Diceros bicornis minor: one gene and its partner. The protein of the gene in region 2 interacts with the protein of the main gene of each other region in a pairwise test. Links are inferred from orthologs where the notes say so. Each region holds a gene or a part of one and is shown on either strand. Other genes may lie near its edges.

Region 1 (7,154 bases), on a different chromosome or scaffold from region 2:
CTCACGGGGTATCAGAGAGGGGCTCTGGTCTGCACTCCAGCATCTTCTGCCAGCTGAACCAGGACCCCTAATCAGAGGCTAGTCAGAGAGTGTCTGCCTTCTGTCACTTGGCTTCTTAAAGCAAGTCAAATGTCACTTCCTCAGAGAGGCATTTCCCCATCATTCTAGTAGTGGATTCCCCCGAACTGTTCTATTTTTTTATAGCACCTAATATTATAGGAAATTAAAGTATTTTTGTCTCTCCGCTGCTAGAAGGTAAGCTCCAGAGGGCAGAGCTTAGTTTATTCAATAGCTATTTGTAGAATGAATGAATCCTCAGAAACTGGTCCTCCACGCCCCCCACCCCCCCACCTCCCATTCTAGCCTCTCCTCTCAAACTTCTCGGTCTCAGGTGAAGTTCTGCTCCTGCGCTTGCTCCCTCCTTGGGGGTGGGGGGGAGTGGTTGCAGAGATGGGGGGAGGCGGAGCCTGGGTGTGGACCCACACAGTCCAACAGGCGCTGGGGGTGGCTGCAAAAGGGCGGGGGCCACAGGAACAAGACGCCTCTGTGAGGCCCCAGGAGGCCCCAGCTTCTCGGAAAAGCCAAGAACTGAGTCCAGGGTGGTTAGAGGGACAGAGCAGAGGAAGGGGGCCCAGGTGGCATGGGGGAGTGTGGAAGGGAGACGGACTTCTGGGCAGGGAAGCAGCAGCACAGATGCAGGCACACAGGAAGGGATCAGGATGCAGGGGAAGCAAAGGGGCTGGGGGCACTGAAGGGAGAGGGGCAGGGTCAGCGGGCCCAAGGGAAGCTCAGGCAGGGGTTAAGGACAGACAGAGGCTGGGGCGAAGGGGGCCTGCTTTGGAAGAGTGTGGGGACAGGGACCAGTAAAGGAAACAGCGTCTTCTCCCCTGGGGTAGGAACTGAATGAAAGAGCTCAAAAAAAAACTCAAGAAAAGTAGGGGTGAGGGGAGCACGAGAGATGTGAGCTTGCGGCCAGAAGGGGTGGGGGGGAGCCAGTCCTGACCGGTCCTGACAGGGCCCAGACACCCAGTCTCAGGCTATTTTTATACTGTGGTCTGTGCCCAAGGCCAGGAAGGGGAAAAGCTCTCATCCTCACACTCCCTGACTTTCCTCCTGCAGCTCAAGGTGTTATTTTCTCCTTCAGGACAGACACATCCAACCCCCACATTCCTCGCTGCCCACCCCCCACCCCAGGGACCCAGGCATCCTGCCCCCCAGCCCAGACTTGTTCCTCTTTTGGAGACAGGAAGCAGAGAGAGCAAAGGATTTAACTCTTTCTCAGCTGCTTCCCACCTCTCCCACTCCATGGTGGCCACCCCTAGTTATCGATCCTGGAGAGGCCCAGATGCAGGGAACTGAGACAGACAACCGGGGGTGGAAAGGACATACCAGCAAGGCCCCCATCCTTGTAACGGGCCCCCCACCCAATTCCTCAGGTCCTCGGAAAAATTTGGCTTAAGACAAAGCTGAAGACGGGGCTGGGATGGGTGTGTAGTGGGAAAAAGAAGACCCCCACCTTTGGAATGGGGCTACAAAGGACAGACTTAGAACAGAATGCCTACTTGTTAACCTGCCCTGCCAACCTTGGCAGCTCCTCTCCCAGAGGCCCAACCACCCAGCCCTGCCTGGGGCCTCCACCCTCAACGCCTGAAGCCAGAAGGGGTGAGACCAAGACAGAAGGTGAAGGCCAGCATGGGGAGGCCACATCCCTGTGATGGAGAGATGGGACTACGCTATATGGAGATGGCGACTTGGGCCAAAGGCAACAAATGACAGGCCAAAAAGAAAGAAAGAAGGTGCAGAATGTGGGGAAGAGGGAGCCTGAGAGAGAAAACAAAGGCAGTGAGAGGAGGAAGAATGGACTTCCAAGTGAGATGGCAGGAAAAAAAATGAGAGGCTATCTGATCTGACAGACAGGTGCTGATGAAGTGAGGAGAAAGTGGTATGGAGGTGGAGGCAAGGAGGCCCAGGCTGGAGGTTAGGCCAAGGCTGAGACGCACCACCCCTCAGGTGTCTCCCCGACTCTGGAACCCAGCTCTTACCTGCCCCATCTCCTCTGGAGGAACCAACTCCGTCCTCAGCCGCAGGGCTCCATCCTTCGTTCGGGACAGTGGAGGGGTCACGGCTGCTGAGCCCCCAGCCTCCACTTCCACCCTCAGGGAGGGCAGGGGCGTGGCGGCACTGGGCGGCCCCATGCTATCCCCAGTCCCAGGCTCTGGGGGGTGCTGCTGCGGTGGGGAGGCTGACATGGGGGGTGTCTCCCCCTTGGCCTTGCCAGGCACCGCCAGCTGGCCCAGCCCCCCAGTGAAGGAACGGGCCTGAGGTCCAGGGGAGGTGGGAGGCGGGCGGAGCCAGGAGGTGGGGCCCTGAGACAGGCTTGGCTGTGGGGTAGGGGCGCCCAGGCCCAAGCTGGCCAGCTCCAACCTGGAATCCAAAGATCTGCCCCCGGTACCCCCCGAGGCCCCTCGAATTCCCTCCAGGAGCCTGCCAAAACTAGGGGGCTCCAGGTCTCTCTCGTAAACATCCACACACGTCCAACGGCCTCGGCGATAAGGCTCTCCCAGGCCGTGGGGCAGCTTCACCACCCGGAAACGGGAGGCTGGGGCCCCAGGCGGCGGGGAGCCATTCCGGGGGGTGCCCTTGCCCCCCGGCTCAGGGTTGGGCTCCCCATTGGGCAGGCGGGGCGAGGGCCCGGTGGGGGCCGGCGGGGTAGGGGGATCTGGATCCCCTGGGCTCCCTGGGCCGTCGTAGTCCGTGGTGACGCTGGTGATTTGGAAACTACTCTTCTTCTTGCCCCCACTCATGGTCCTTGGGGCTCAGGACTAGGCCAAGGTGGGCAGGGGGGCAGTGGTGGATCTTCGAAGGGGCTCAGGCGCCCCTGGAACAGGGGGGCCACATGGCGGGTACATCAGGGCCCCTGGGGCCGTCTGGGTCCGACATGGCAGGAGGGCCTTGCGGGGAACTGGGGGTGCCTGGTTGGTGAAGGGAGAACAGGGTAGGGGTGGTGGCAGGAGCGGGGGTGGGGGGGGCCCGGCAGGGGCAGGTTTTTCCTGCTGCTGTCGCTGCCGAACTCCAGAGCTGAGTTTGCAAACTGGAAAAAGAGAGAGAGTGTGTATGTGTGAGAAAGCAGTGGGCAGGCCACCTCCGGGGCTTCCTCTCTGGGGAGCAGGATGGGGGAGGAAGGGGAAACCGCCAGAGACCCAGAGACAAAGAGACAGCCAGAGACGACAGAGACCAGGGCAGACGGGACGGATCCGAGCGCGCGCACAGAGCAGGAAGAGGCAGCCCAGACCCAAAGTTGGGCATTTCTCGCCTGGGATTCAAACTCACGGGACCGAGTCGTCCCAAGGGCAAGGGCTCCAGGGCCTGGGGGAACGGGGGTGAAGCAGCTCCTCGGCCTGGCCCGGCCACCGGGAGGCCTCTGCTGAGCCTCGAGGCCCGGCACCCCAGCTCCCCCATCCCTGGGGCAGGCCCTGCCCCTCCGGCCCAGCGCCCCGCCCAGCCCAGAGCCCTACCTCTCGGCTTCGGCCACCGAGCTGGGCCGGGGGTTCCGGCTGCCTAAGACGTCCGGCTGTCCTTTTCCTGGGGCCTCCCGGCCCCAGCAGCGCGGGGCGCGCAGGTGGCGACCAGAGGCTGTCCGGTCCTCTTCAGGGGCAGCACCTCGCCCCGCAAGGCATCTCCGTGAAAAGTTTGCCCTCCAGTAAAGAAGGAACCCCCGCCTCCTTGGTGGAGTCCAAGCGCGGCCTCTGAAGCCCCAAGGGTCTCCGGACCGATGCGGGAGGGGGCGGCTCAGCCCCCCGCTCCTCCAGGTGGAGCCGCCTCGGTGGTCGGGGCGAGTGGGTCTCCCAAGTCTCCTCCCGCGTGGCCTTGCTGGGTCTCTCTCGGCTCCTCAGCTCCTCTCAGTTCTGTCTCTGTCTTTCTCTTTCTGGGCTGTTGACAACCCCCACACCAGGAAGTCCTGCCTCCTCGGGCCTGCTGACTGCTCCTCTCCTCCTCCTCCTCCTCCTTCCCCTCTTCCTCCGCCCCCTCTCCTCCTGGGGCTCCCGGCCAGCTGGCCCGGGGCCAGGCCTGCCACCGCCGCTGCTGGTGCAGTTGCTGCGGCTGCTGCGGCTCCTGGGGCCCCGACCGAGCTGCCTTAACCCCACACCTGCTGGGCCCTAGCCCAGCTCTTCCTCGGAGGGAGGGGCTGTGGAGGGCGGAGAGAAAGGGGAGGAGTTTGAGCGAGGCCAGGGATTCCCTTACTTGTAGGCGCTCGCTGCCATTGGCCTACAGACACCCAGGAGTGGGAAGGAGCTTAGCCGGAGCTCTGCTGGGCGCCTGCCGCCCCGTAAGCGCCCAGTAAATGTTACGGTGCTGCTGCAGCTGTTAGTGTCATGTCTTCGCTGGTTCTCACAGTAACTGTACGAGGAAGGTTATTCTCCCCTGTCCTGATTTTAAAAAGTGGATTATTATGACAATTTTCAAACATGCCCCAAAGTAGAGAGAGTAGTGTCGACAGTTATCAACTCACAGCCAGTCTTGTTTCATCTGCCCCCCAATATCTTTTGTTGTTTTGTGCTGGAGTATTTGAATCACATCCCAGACATCATAGTATTCCCCTTCTTAGATGTGGAAATTGACACCCAGGAGGTTCAGAAAAGCTGTCAGTGGTGGCGCAGGGACATTTCATACAGTCAGAGGTGTTCTTGTCTGGCCCCCAAACAGAGAGACAATGAAGACACTCTCGAGAAGGTGCTGACTGGCACTTTCTTTCCAACCGCTGGTCACACATATGTATGTACACGCAGTCACCCAACACACATGTGGCTGAGGATGACGAACCCAGCTGGCCACCAGCATGGGCCCCTCCCTACCTCTCACCCTTCCTGCCTTTCCCATCCCGTCCCTCCCTCACTCTGGTGAGTCCACACACACTCATAAAGGGCCTACTATGTGCTTGGCATGAAAGAATAAACTGCCATTTTCTCTTTTTTGGCTCCCCCAACCAACATTCTAAAAGGAGTTATTTTAGCAAGAGCCATGTCTAATGGCCACATCTGCCCTCACTCCCAGGTTCAGAAGGAAATGGAGTGTAATTAATTTGGGTCAAATGGAACGGGTCTAGAGCATATTAAAAATTCCTCGTATTTGTCCACTTCACATGGTTATCTCATGGATTCTCAAAACAGCCCTGGGCAGAAGTGGGGTGGGTTTTGAGCTAGTGTTTCCGCTAAGGAAACTGAGGCTTACAGGCATTATTTGCTCAAGGCCTCAGAGCAGGTGTTGGATGGCGTTGAGACCAGTGCTGGGCTCTGACACATCCCTCCTTCCTCAGCTTTGGCTCATGGAAATTTTTTTTTTGTTTTTTTGGGGTTTTTTTTGCTAGGTAAGATTAGCCCTGAGCTAACATCTGTGCCAATCTTCCTCTACTTTATGTGTGGGTTGCTGCCACAGTGTGGCTGACAAGTGGTGTAGGTCGGCAACCGGGATCCGAACCTGTGGGGAATGTGCAGAACTTAACCACTACTGCAGGGAGCTGGACCCTCATGAAAATTTTTAATCACTCTTTAGGGTTAAGCAAAAACAAAATGATGCAAAATCCTTTGCCCCACGTTTATATATTTATTCTTTATCTCTTTGTTAAAATGCGTCTCTACTCCTGCCTCTCTCCCTTCATGGAGACAATGGCTACCATAGCCAAGTCCTGAGGCCTCCCAAGGCGTGAGGTCCAGGAAGCAGCTGAAGTAGCCTCCCACACAACTCCCCCTCCAACCCCCTCCTCTCTGGCAATATTCAGAACAGAGCCCTGTGCTCCGCCCGGGATCCTTCAGCGCAGACTTGCTACGAACTATTCAAAACTTATCTTGGGACCCTCCCCTTCCCACCAGCTCAGACGCTCAGCATCAACTTGGACTCCTCCATGTCTGCAGTCGCTGGGACGTTGTTGGTCTCTGTGGACATGCTTGTTGAATGAATAAATAAAAATTCATTCACACTAAGGCGTAAATGTGAAAGGACTGGTATGTATTTTATTGTTTTTCCTCCCCTGGAGGCATTTATAACAGCCCTTTAATGTGTGGGGCCCTTTACGATTTACAAAGCTCTTGGTAGTCATTATTTTGCTGCCTCCCAACCACTTTATTGAGGTAGGTATGAGATGAGGCATCTCTCAGAGGGGCTGTGCCATTTGCCCAAAGCTGCACAGCACATCAGCAAAGACTTTGCCATATAAAGTAACATTCACAGGTTCCAGGGATTAGGGCGTGGATATTTTATGGGGGTCCATTTTTCAGCCAGTTAAGGGTAGAACCGAAGTCTTGCAGCTATTGTGCGGCAAAGAGATTTCCAAGGGAGAATTTCTCAGGGAGCCGATGAGAAAGGTGATGCGAGGCGGGGGGCGAGGTCGCGACCCTCCGCGGCCGCCGCGACCGCACCTGGGCCGTGGCCGCGGTGGTCCCAGTGAGAGGCCGACCCCGGGGCGCCCAGGTCTCGGCAGGCGCCGCCAGCGGAGTCAAAGGTTAGTGGGAGGGTGACTTGGGCGGCGGGGACGGACGGGTGGAAGACTTTGAGCCCAGGCGGTGAAACAAGGTCCGGGCGCCTGCGAGGCTGCAGGGATAAGCGACGGGTACCAAGCGAGCCAGCTCCCGTGCCCTCCCCGCACGTGGGGGGCGGCGGGAAGACGGGGCGCGGCCAAGGGAGCACGCCCCCTGCTGGGTAGAGACGCAGATGGTCCGGCTTCCCACTCAGAGCCCCTCGGCCCGGAAAGCGGCCCCCCCTGCCGGCCTCGCCACCTCACTGCACTCGGGGCCCCGCAGCTGCAGCCTCGCCCCGGCCCGACGCGGGGTGCGCACCCGGGGAGCGCCTGGCGCACGGGGTACGCGCGTCGGTGCAGACCCCCGGCTGCCGCTGGGGGGCGCCGCTGCACGCTGCGCCCCGCTTCGCTCCGCCGGGGCCTTGGACACTGAACCGAGCACGGCCCGGCCGGGCCAGGGGCGAGGGGAGGCGAGGAGCGGACGCCCCAAAGCGGGGGCGGACTGGCGCCAGGTCCCCCGCGCCCCACGATCTTTCTCCGAGTCCCCCTGGGGGCTCCGCGGCCCTCGTGCCCCCCACCCCAGCCTGGCGGCGCAGCACAACGCGGCCGCTCCAGCTCCGTCCTTGGAGGGTGTGGAAGGGTG
Region 2 (7,204 bases):
CATGAGAATTCCCGTGCGGGAGTTCTGGCAGGGAGTTCTGGGAAGTCTTGGATGTTGAGGCTTTTAAGCTGGTGCTTAAAGGCTAAGTAAAATGTGTAATTTCACAAACGGGAGGAGAGCATTACAGGAGGAGGGAACATTATGTACAAAGGCAAGAAGACGGAAAAGTTTATAATTCAGTTTGCCCAGAGCCTAGGATTTTGAAGGGGTGAAGTGGAAAAATAAGGCAGGAAAAGTAAATTCCAGTCAGACTCTTGAAAGCCATTAGTTCTAAGGGCTACAACTGAAGGAGAAGTGTGTGGGTAAGAGTGTTAGAGTATGTGAAGGAGAGAGTGGTTCTGATTTGGTTCAATGAATTACACCTCAGCTACCCAGTCACATGGTTATACCCTAGATCTTGCCAGAATCTACACCTCTGAAATCACTAATTCAAGCATCAAGTTCTCTACGCACAACTTCCTGAGCTTCCCCAGCTCACTTGCTCAAGTAACCCCACTGCAACAATTCTTTGACTTCATGAATCCTCCAATTCACTTTCCCCCTCCTACATATGCTTTCTCTCTTTTTATCAGTTTCCTCCAATCTTTGCTTGCTCCCTTTCCCACTTAAATTCCTGAATTTATTATCATTATCACTCTTGCAAATATCTTCACCTCCCTAGGCAATACTCCAGAGTATTCCCGCCACAAAGCAGAGAATCCAAGTATCTTCTCCATACTTGCACCTGTGTAGTTCAGGATTGTTGGAGGCAATCACACCACTGGGCAGGTTAATGATCATCAACCCTCAACACTGCTGGAAATCCTCATTTCTCTCTGATTCCCCTGCTCTCTGAAACAACTGTTTCTTACCTTATTCACATTCTTCAAATCTCTCCCTCCTACTCCCTGCTATTGACTTTGCCTCATACTTTATTGAGAAAACACATGCCCATCAGATAAAAACGCCCTCATCTTCTTGTGGATTTTTTAATGAAAATAGCTTTTTTTCTCCTAATAAAAATATGTGTTCATTGTAGGAAACTGAAAAATATAAAGAGGAAAGTAAAGATTTTCCCAAATCCTACCACTTAAAGATAAACATTGTAAATATTTTGGTAAATATTCTTCCAGACTTTTTTTTCAAATATGCATACAATTTTACATAAATGTATACCTTCTGTATAAACTTTTTTTTTTACGATTACGTATTAGTGGGATTAGTTGGCTCCTGTAGCCACTTATGTCGCTCCCTATTCACACCCAGGTGGAAACAATCCCAAGAGTTTTTTAGTCACTCAAATCTATATAATTATACCTTTTTGAGTAGTTGCTAACTTTTTTCTTGTTTACACTTAATGGTAGGATATAGGCATTTCCCTAGCTTTATACCTTTAGATTGTTTTCTCAGCAACGTTTTTAAAGGCTGTATAAGTATTCCACTATCTGGTACTAATGTACCCTAAGTTGTATAACTAGGCCACATTTAACTAGGTGAACATTTAAGGGGTTTACAATGCTTCAGCGAATGTTTCTGTTAATCTGTCTTCGCAAATTTTTCCAATTTCTTCTTTAGGAAAATTCCTAGAAGAGGAATTGTCTGGTAACAGGGTACACACATTTAAGATTTTGATACATATTGCCAAATTGCCATGCAGAAAAGTTGCAATAATTTCTTGTAAAAAAAGTTGCAATAAAATCTTGTAAAACATCATTAGTTTTCCTTTTTGATTCTGGTTTTCAGATAGTGTTTATATTTTGCCTTTGTGTTTATAAAATATTCACTCATATTTTCTTTTAGAAATTTTATGATTCAGTTTAATCTTTGGTTAATCTAGAATTTATTTTGGTATGTGAAGTGAGGCAGGGATCTAGTTTTATTTTTTAAAATGACTATCCAGTTGTTTCAATACTTTTTCGTGAGTAACTCTTTTCCCCAGTGATTTGAATCATTGCTCTATATATTTGGGTCTGTTTCTGGACTCTCTTTTGTTCCATTTATCTGTCTGTACAATTACCACACAATTTTATTTACGGTAGTTTTAATGTCTGGTATAACAAGCCCCTGTCCCTTACTCTATTATTGCTTTTGTTTTTATAATTTTCCTGACTATAATTGCATATTTATGCTGAAAGTGTTTTTGTTCTTTTAACAAGATATAATGCTACCTTATTAAGTAATTTGCATTCTTCGTTGCTTACTCTCTTTTAATCCACTCTATTAATGAGAATCTTAATTAGCTCTCATTAGATTCCAAGCTGTTCACCAGCCTTATGTACTATTTCACCATTTTTGCTTCAATTTTTCAAAAGGTAGGAGCAGGAAATTTATAGTTTATGCTAGGGTAAGGGAAGATAATCTACGGCATTTTGAATGCCTCTTAATGGCATTTTACTACTCACTCTTGCATATCCTCCTCAATATGCACCTGCTTCTTTTATTATCTCCTTTCCTCTTCTCTCTCTCTCTTTTACTTTTTTTCTGTCCTTTTAATTCTCTCTTTCTTATAGCATCTAGGGAGGCCATCTAGATCAAAAACAAAAATATTGGAGATACTCATACAACATAAGGGTTTCCACCCTTTCTGCATATTTTCCTTTATTCACTGGCCCTTTCAATGCAGTGGTGCCTGCTCAGTAGCTCTGACTTTGGAGTCATATTTACAGTCAGTATTAATCAATAGAGTCATTTGATTCTGTATGCCTTATATAATCCTGGATAATATAATATCCATTCTACTACAGACATTATTAATCACTAAGAGCTCTAAGATGTGTGTGAAGAGACCACTGCAGGCTTGAGAGCTGAGGTCTAATTATCGCCCTATTTGTTCATCTGTTCATCCATGAACAAAGAAGTTATGGTAGAGCCAGGGGCCTGGGTGGGATGATGAAAGTTGGGAGCCCTTAGTTTGCCAACCAGGAAATGGGGAACGATAATGGGAACTAACATTTGTTAAGTATGTACTATATGCCAGCCACTGTTCTAGATGATTTATGTACACTATTCTATTGAACCAGAAGCCTAGAACTACTTTTATTCCCATTCTGCAGAAGAGGAAATTGAGGTCCTGAGATTCTAAGTAGCTAGCACCAGGTCACAAAGTATGCGGTGCATGAGGATTCAGTCAGCTATGGGACACTCTACTGCCCTTTTCCACCAGACTTCTTCCTCTAATTTAGCAATCTAGGATTGTGAAATGAATACCAAATTGCAAGATGCAAAAGAAGAGAAGTTAATAGCAGTACTTTCTCTGTTTTCCCTTTTTTCTTCACTCTATGTGATCTAGATGCAGAAAATTTTGAAGAAGGAAAGAAATTATTTTTAGAAACTCCATCTTTTCCATGATAAATAATCACTGATTTTGAGTCTTAGGGTCAGAAGGGAACTCTGTTAATGTTCCCAGAATTGAAGCCACAATCTCTCTTCTTCATCCTGTTAGCCAGTTCCCTAGCTGACTTGACTGAGGTGCATAAGGCTTAAAAGAGGGGTATGTGAGGGAAGAAGTGGGAGGCTTGTTAATGTTTTTTGTTTTTGGTGCTTCTCCATATTTGGAGGCATCATGCCATAACACTGTTGTCTCTGAGTGGAGCTTTAAAGTAGAGGCCAACTCCTTGATTGCAAGCATCACCTATAGATTCAGCTGGAATCAAACATGTTTACTTACATATTCCATCCCCATCCCTAAAACCATTTGTTTGGAGATGGGTGGGACCCCTGCCCTTGCTGTGAGCCTGTAGAGGAGTCATTAGTTAGTTTCCTTCGGATTTGACAAGGACAGGGCAGCAGAAACATGTCTTGGAACTACAGGGTTTTTCAGTTTCCTCAACTTCTGATATTGCTGACCTTCGCCACTCACGATTAATCAGTGGGCAACATTGTTCCTTCCTTCCTCCCTCCCTCCCCTCTCCTCTTTCCTCTCCCTCGTCCCTACGTCCCTTTTCTTTCTTTTGAAGGCCTGCTCTCCTCTTTCCCATAACCCTGGCCATCTGCACTCTTCCCTCAATAATTGTAGTATGCTTCCAGTACTGCACCATACTTCCTTACGCTCAGTGATTCTCACCCCTGCCCTCTGAACTAATCCCCAGGATTGAAGGCCTAGACTGCGCCCCAAGGCTTAGGCTCGCGATGTGAGATAGACAGTAAAGGCCAATAGGAAGTGGTCTTTGATTGACGTCACTGTAGGGGGAGGAGCTTTCCAAGCGTCGTCGGGCACTGTGGACGGAGTTTGTGGAGACAGCACTGTGGCACGTTGGCGGTCCCGGCTGAGGTGACTGATTTAGTAGGTAGGAAGGGCTAGAGGAGGGTCAGGTACGGGTCAGTTGAGTGGTTTATAACTAGCAAGAAGATGCGGCCATTAGGTCAACACTTTTTAGAGTGGCCCTGAGGCAATGATTTTGAACCACAGAGCTGCTGTAGCTGACTCTCAGGTGAAAGAAGATGGGCAGAGGCAGGATTTTTTGACTTGGATGAAGTATGGGGCGCATTGTGGGGTCATTGAAAGCGGGAGACAGTAGTTATTGTAGTTTGGATGTGAAGGACCTACATTCCGTTGAAGCCGTATGGTTGGTGACTGTTGGGGGCGGGGAGCTGAAGGCGCGCTAGCTGGGTCTGTGAGAGCGGGAAAAAGGCCAGTGAGTGATTGGGTGCTTTGAATGTATGGGCGGTGGAGAGAGGGATTTTGAACCAATTAGGAGGAGGCAACGAGTACCAGCCAGACAAATCACAGGGTACCCTGGTTTCCTGGTTGCCAGGCGGATTATGGTAAGAAAAGATTTGGGATGAAAATTTCCTCCGAGCCAGATTCCTGTGACATGACTCCTGGCCCCACCCCTCGTTAACTACTTTTTCTGAGTTTTAAAATTTCTTCAGCATTTTTTTTCCTTTGGGTAACAGGTAACTGGAAAAATTTCACTGAAAAGAAATTTATTGAGGAACTGGAGGATAAAGGACAGAAGATTAAAATTTTTTTTTATTTCATAGGCTTGAGCCAGAGATTTAAAAATGGACGATGTTGATTTTCGTTTCATGGACTTTAAAGGTATATAGCTTTACATGGTAGTAAAGAAAATGTCAAACTGTTTGCTGCCTTATCTAAAATCTTCTAAATGTATTTTGTTTCTGAATTTTATCTCTTTGGAGTATCCATAGCTCCAAGTTTTCTTATTTGTGTACCAGAAAAACAATGTAGATGTTTAAGACACTGGAACCCTTTTATATGCTAGTGTAGGGAAACTGAATTCACAATTCATAGCTTGTTTTCTCAGGATTTTTATTGCATGCAAATTAACATTGGTTTAATCTGAAATAGAAATCTACTGCGTTAAATGTACATTAAAAAAATTACTGCAAGATCCTGGAGTGCCTTTCCAAAATCATCAGTGAAAAATAAATTATATCCTGTATAGTTTTAGGTTTAACTGCATTTTATTGTATCTTAATTCTTTTGAAAATTGGTAATCTCTGTATGGTATTTATGGTAATTGTTAATAAAAGCAATTTGACTAGAACAAGAGATTCCTCAACCGTGCCAGATATGGGAATGTTTACACTATTTCTTTTTTTCTGGGTACATGATTAGACCTGTGATACATTCACATTCATATATTCACATTCATATATATTTCACGTTATTCATATAATAATGACATATGTGTAGCCAGGGTGGCTACAAATCCATGATTTAAAAATGTTTAGGTCAATATTTTGTTAATTCTTGTCATTTTAGCACAACAGCAACAAAGCCCACTACCTCTTACCTTATGTTTTAATTTAGGATATGGTATCTTAAAGATATAAACATGGAATAAGGATTATGACTTTTAAGTATATTGTATTTGAGCCCTTGTATTTATATAATATTTGAAGCACACAGAAAAGTATAGAAAATAATATAATGAACACCTGTATACCTACCAGTAAGTTTTGTTGAATCTTAACAGTTTGTCATATGCTTCAGGTATTTCATTGTTTCAAAGAACTAGAAGATTAGATGCACCGGTTAGTCATCTTTGAAAATTTTACATAAATTGTATCATTTTGTATGATTTTTTTCTGTAACTTGCCTTTTTTTGCTCAGCATTATGTTTTGGATATTTACCCATATGGATATTTTAGCTCTAGTTCATTTATTTGCCCTGCTGATTAGAACTATTACGTTGAATAGAAGTACAATTTATTTATCCAATCTCCTTTGTTGTTGTTTCAAATATGTTGTTTTAACATATGAGTTGTTTTAAATATTTGCTGTTACATAACAACAACACTACAATGAACATTGTGTTTCCAAGAGCTTAGCAGGAGCTTTCAAGCATTTCTGACTACCACTCATGGCAAGGAAATATATTTTACATCACATCCCAGTACATACACACCATAGCAAAAGTTTGAAACAGTCTTACCCTTATTACACGCAGTGCACTATGATGTTTTCTATTCTATGCTTTTTAATTAAAAAATGCTGGTTATGACCAACTAAATTGATTTATTTCTTGAGCACTAGTGGGTGAGGATCTAGGGCAGTACTGTCCCATTGAACCATAGTGCAAACACAAATAATTTTATATTTTCGAGTAACCACATTAACAAAAGCTTAAACAGATGAAATTAATTTTAACATTACAAATTATTTAGCTTAGTATATCCAAAATGTTATCATTTCAACATGTAATCAATACAAAAATTATTAATGACATATTTTACATTCTTTTTTTTCTTACAAAGTGTTTGAAGTCCAGTATGTATTTTATTTATACTTAAAGCATATCTCATTTTGGACTTGCCACATTTCAGGTGCTCAGTAGTCACATGTGGCTAGTGGCTACCCTCTAGTGGCAGTGCTGTTCCAGGGTATATACATTTAGGAGTGGAACTGATGGGTCAAAAGCTATGAGCATCTTTAACTTTATAAGTATTGTCCAATTGCTGTCCAAAGTAGTTTAACAATTAATATTCCCTCTCTCTTTCTCTTTTCCCTATATCCTTGCTAATATTTGGTATTATCAGACAAAAAATTTTGTAGATGTGAAGGGTATTGTTGTTTTTAATTAACGTTTTATTTTGGAATAATTTTAGATTTACAGAAAAGTTGCAAAGATATTGCAGAGAGTACCCATATACCCCTCAGCCAGTTTCATTTACCCTAATGTTATCATCTTACATAGGTGTTGTTTTAATTTGCATTTCCCTGATAACTAGTAAAGTTGAGTGTATTTTCATAGATTTA

The links.
Region 1: the proteins of TEX11 (region 2) and TSC22D4 interact in a two-hybrid assay, tested with the Homo sapiens proteins (2 studies listed by BioGRID and IntAct). The two-hybrid records come from large-scale screens. The link is inferred for Diceros bicornis minor from reciprocal best matches to the Homo sapiens genes TEX11 and TSC22D4.

What each region holds. Positions count from the first base shown.
Region 1 is NC_080765.1:5,317,251-5,324,404, reverse strand, and holds the start of TSC22D4 (TSC22 domain family protein 4), read right to left. Parts: upstream 3,003-7,154; 5' UTR 2,805-3,002; coding exon 2,043-2,804; intron 1-2,042.
Region 2 is NC_080781.1:64,217,810-64,225,013, reverse strand, and holds the start of TEX11 (testis-expressed protein 11), read left to right. Parts: upstream 1-4,200; 5' UTR 4,201-4,249; exon of another isoform or gene 4,250-4,265; intron 4,266-4,287; exon of another isoform or gene 4,288-4,409; intron 4,410-4,751; exon of another isoform or gene 4,752-4,962; 5' UTR 4,963-4,983; coding exon 4,984-5,020; intron 5,021-7,204. UniProt on the Homo sapiens protein: Regulator of crossing-over during meiosis. Involved in initiation and/or maintenance of chromosome synapsis and formation of crossovers.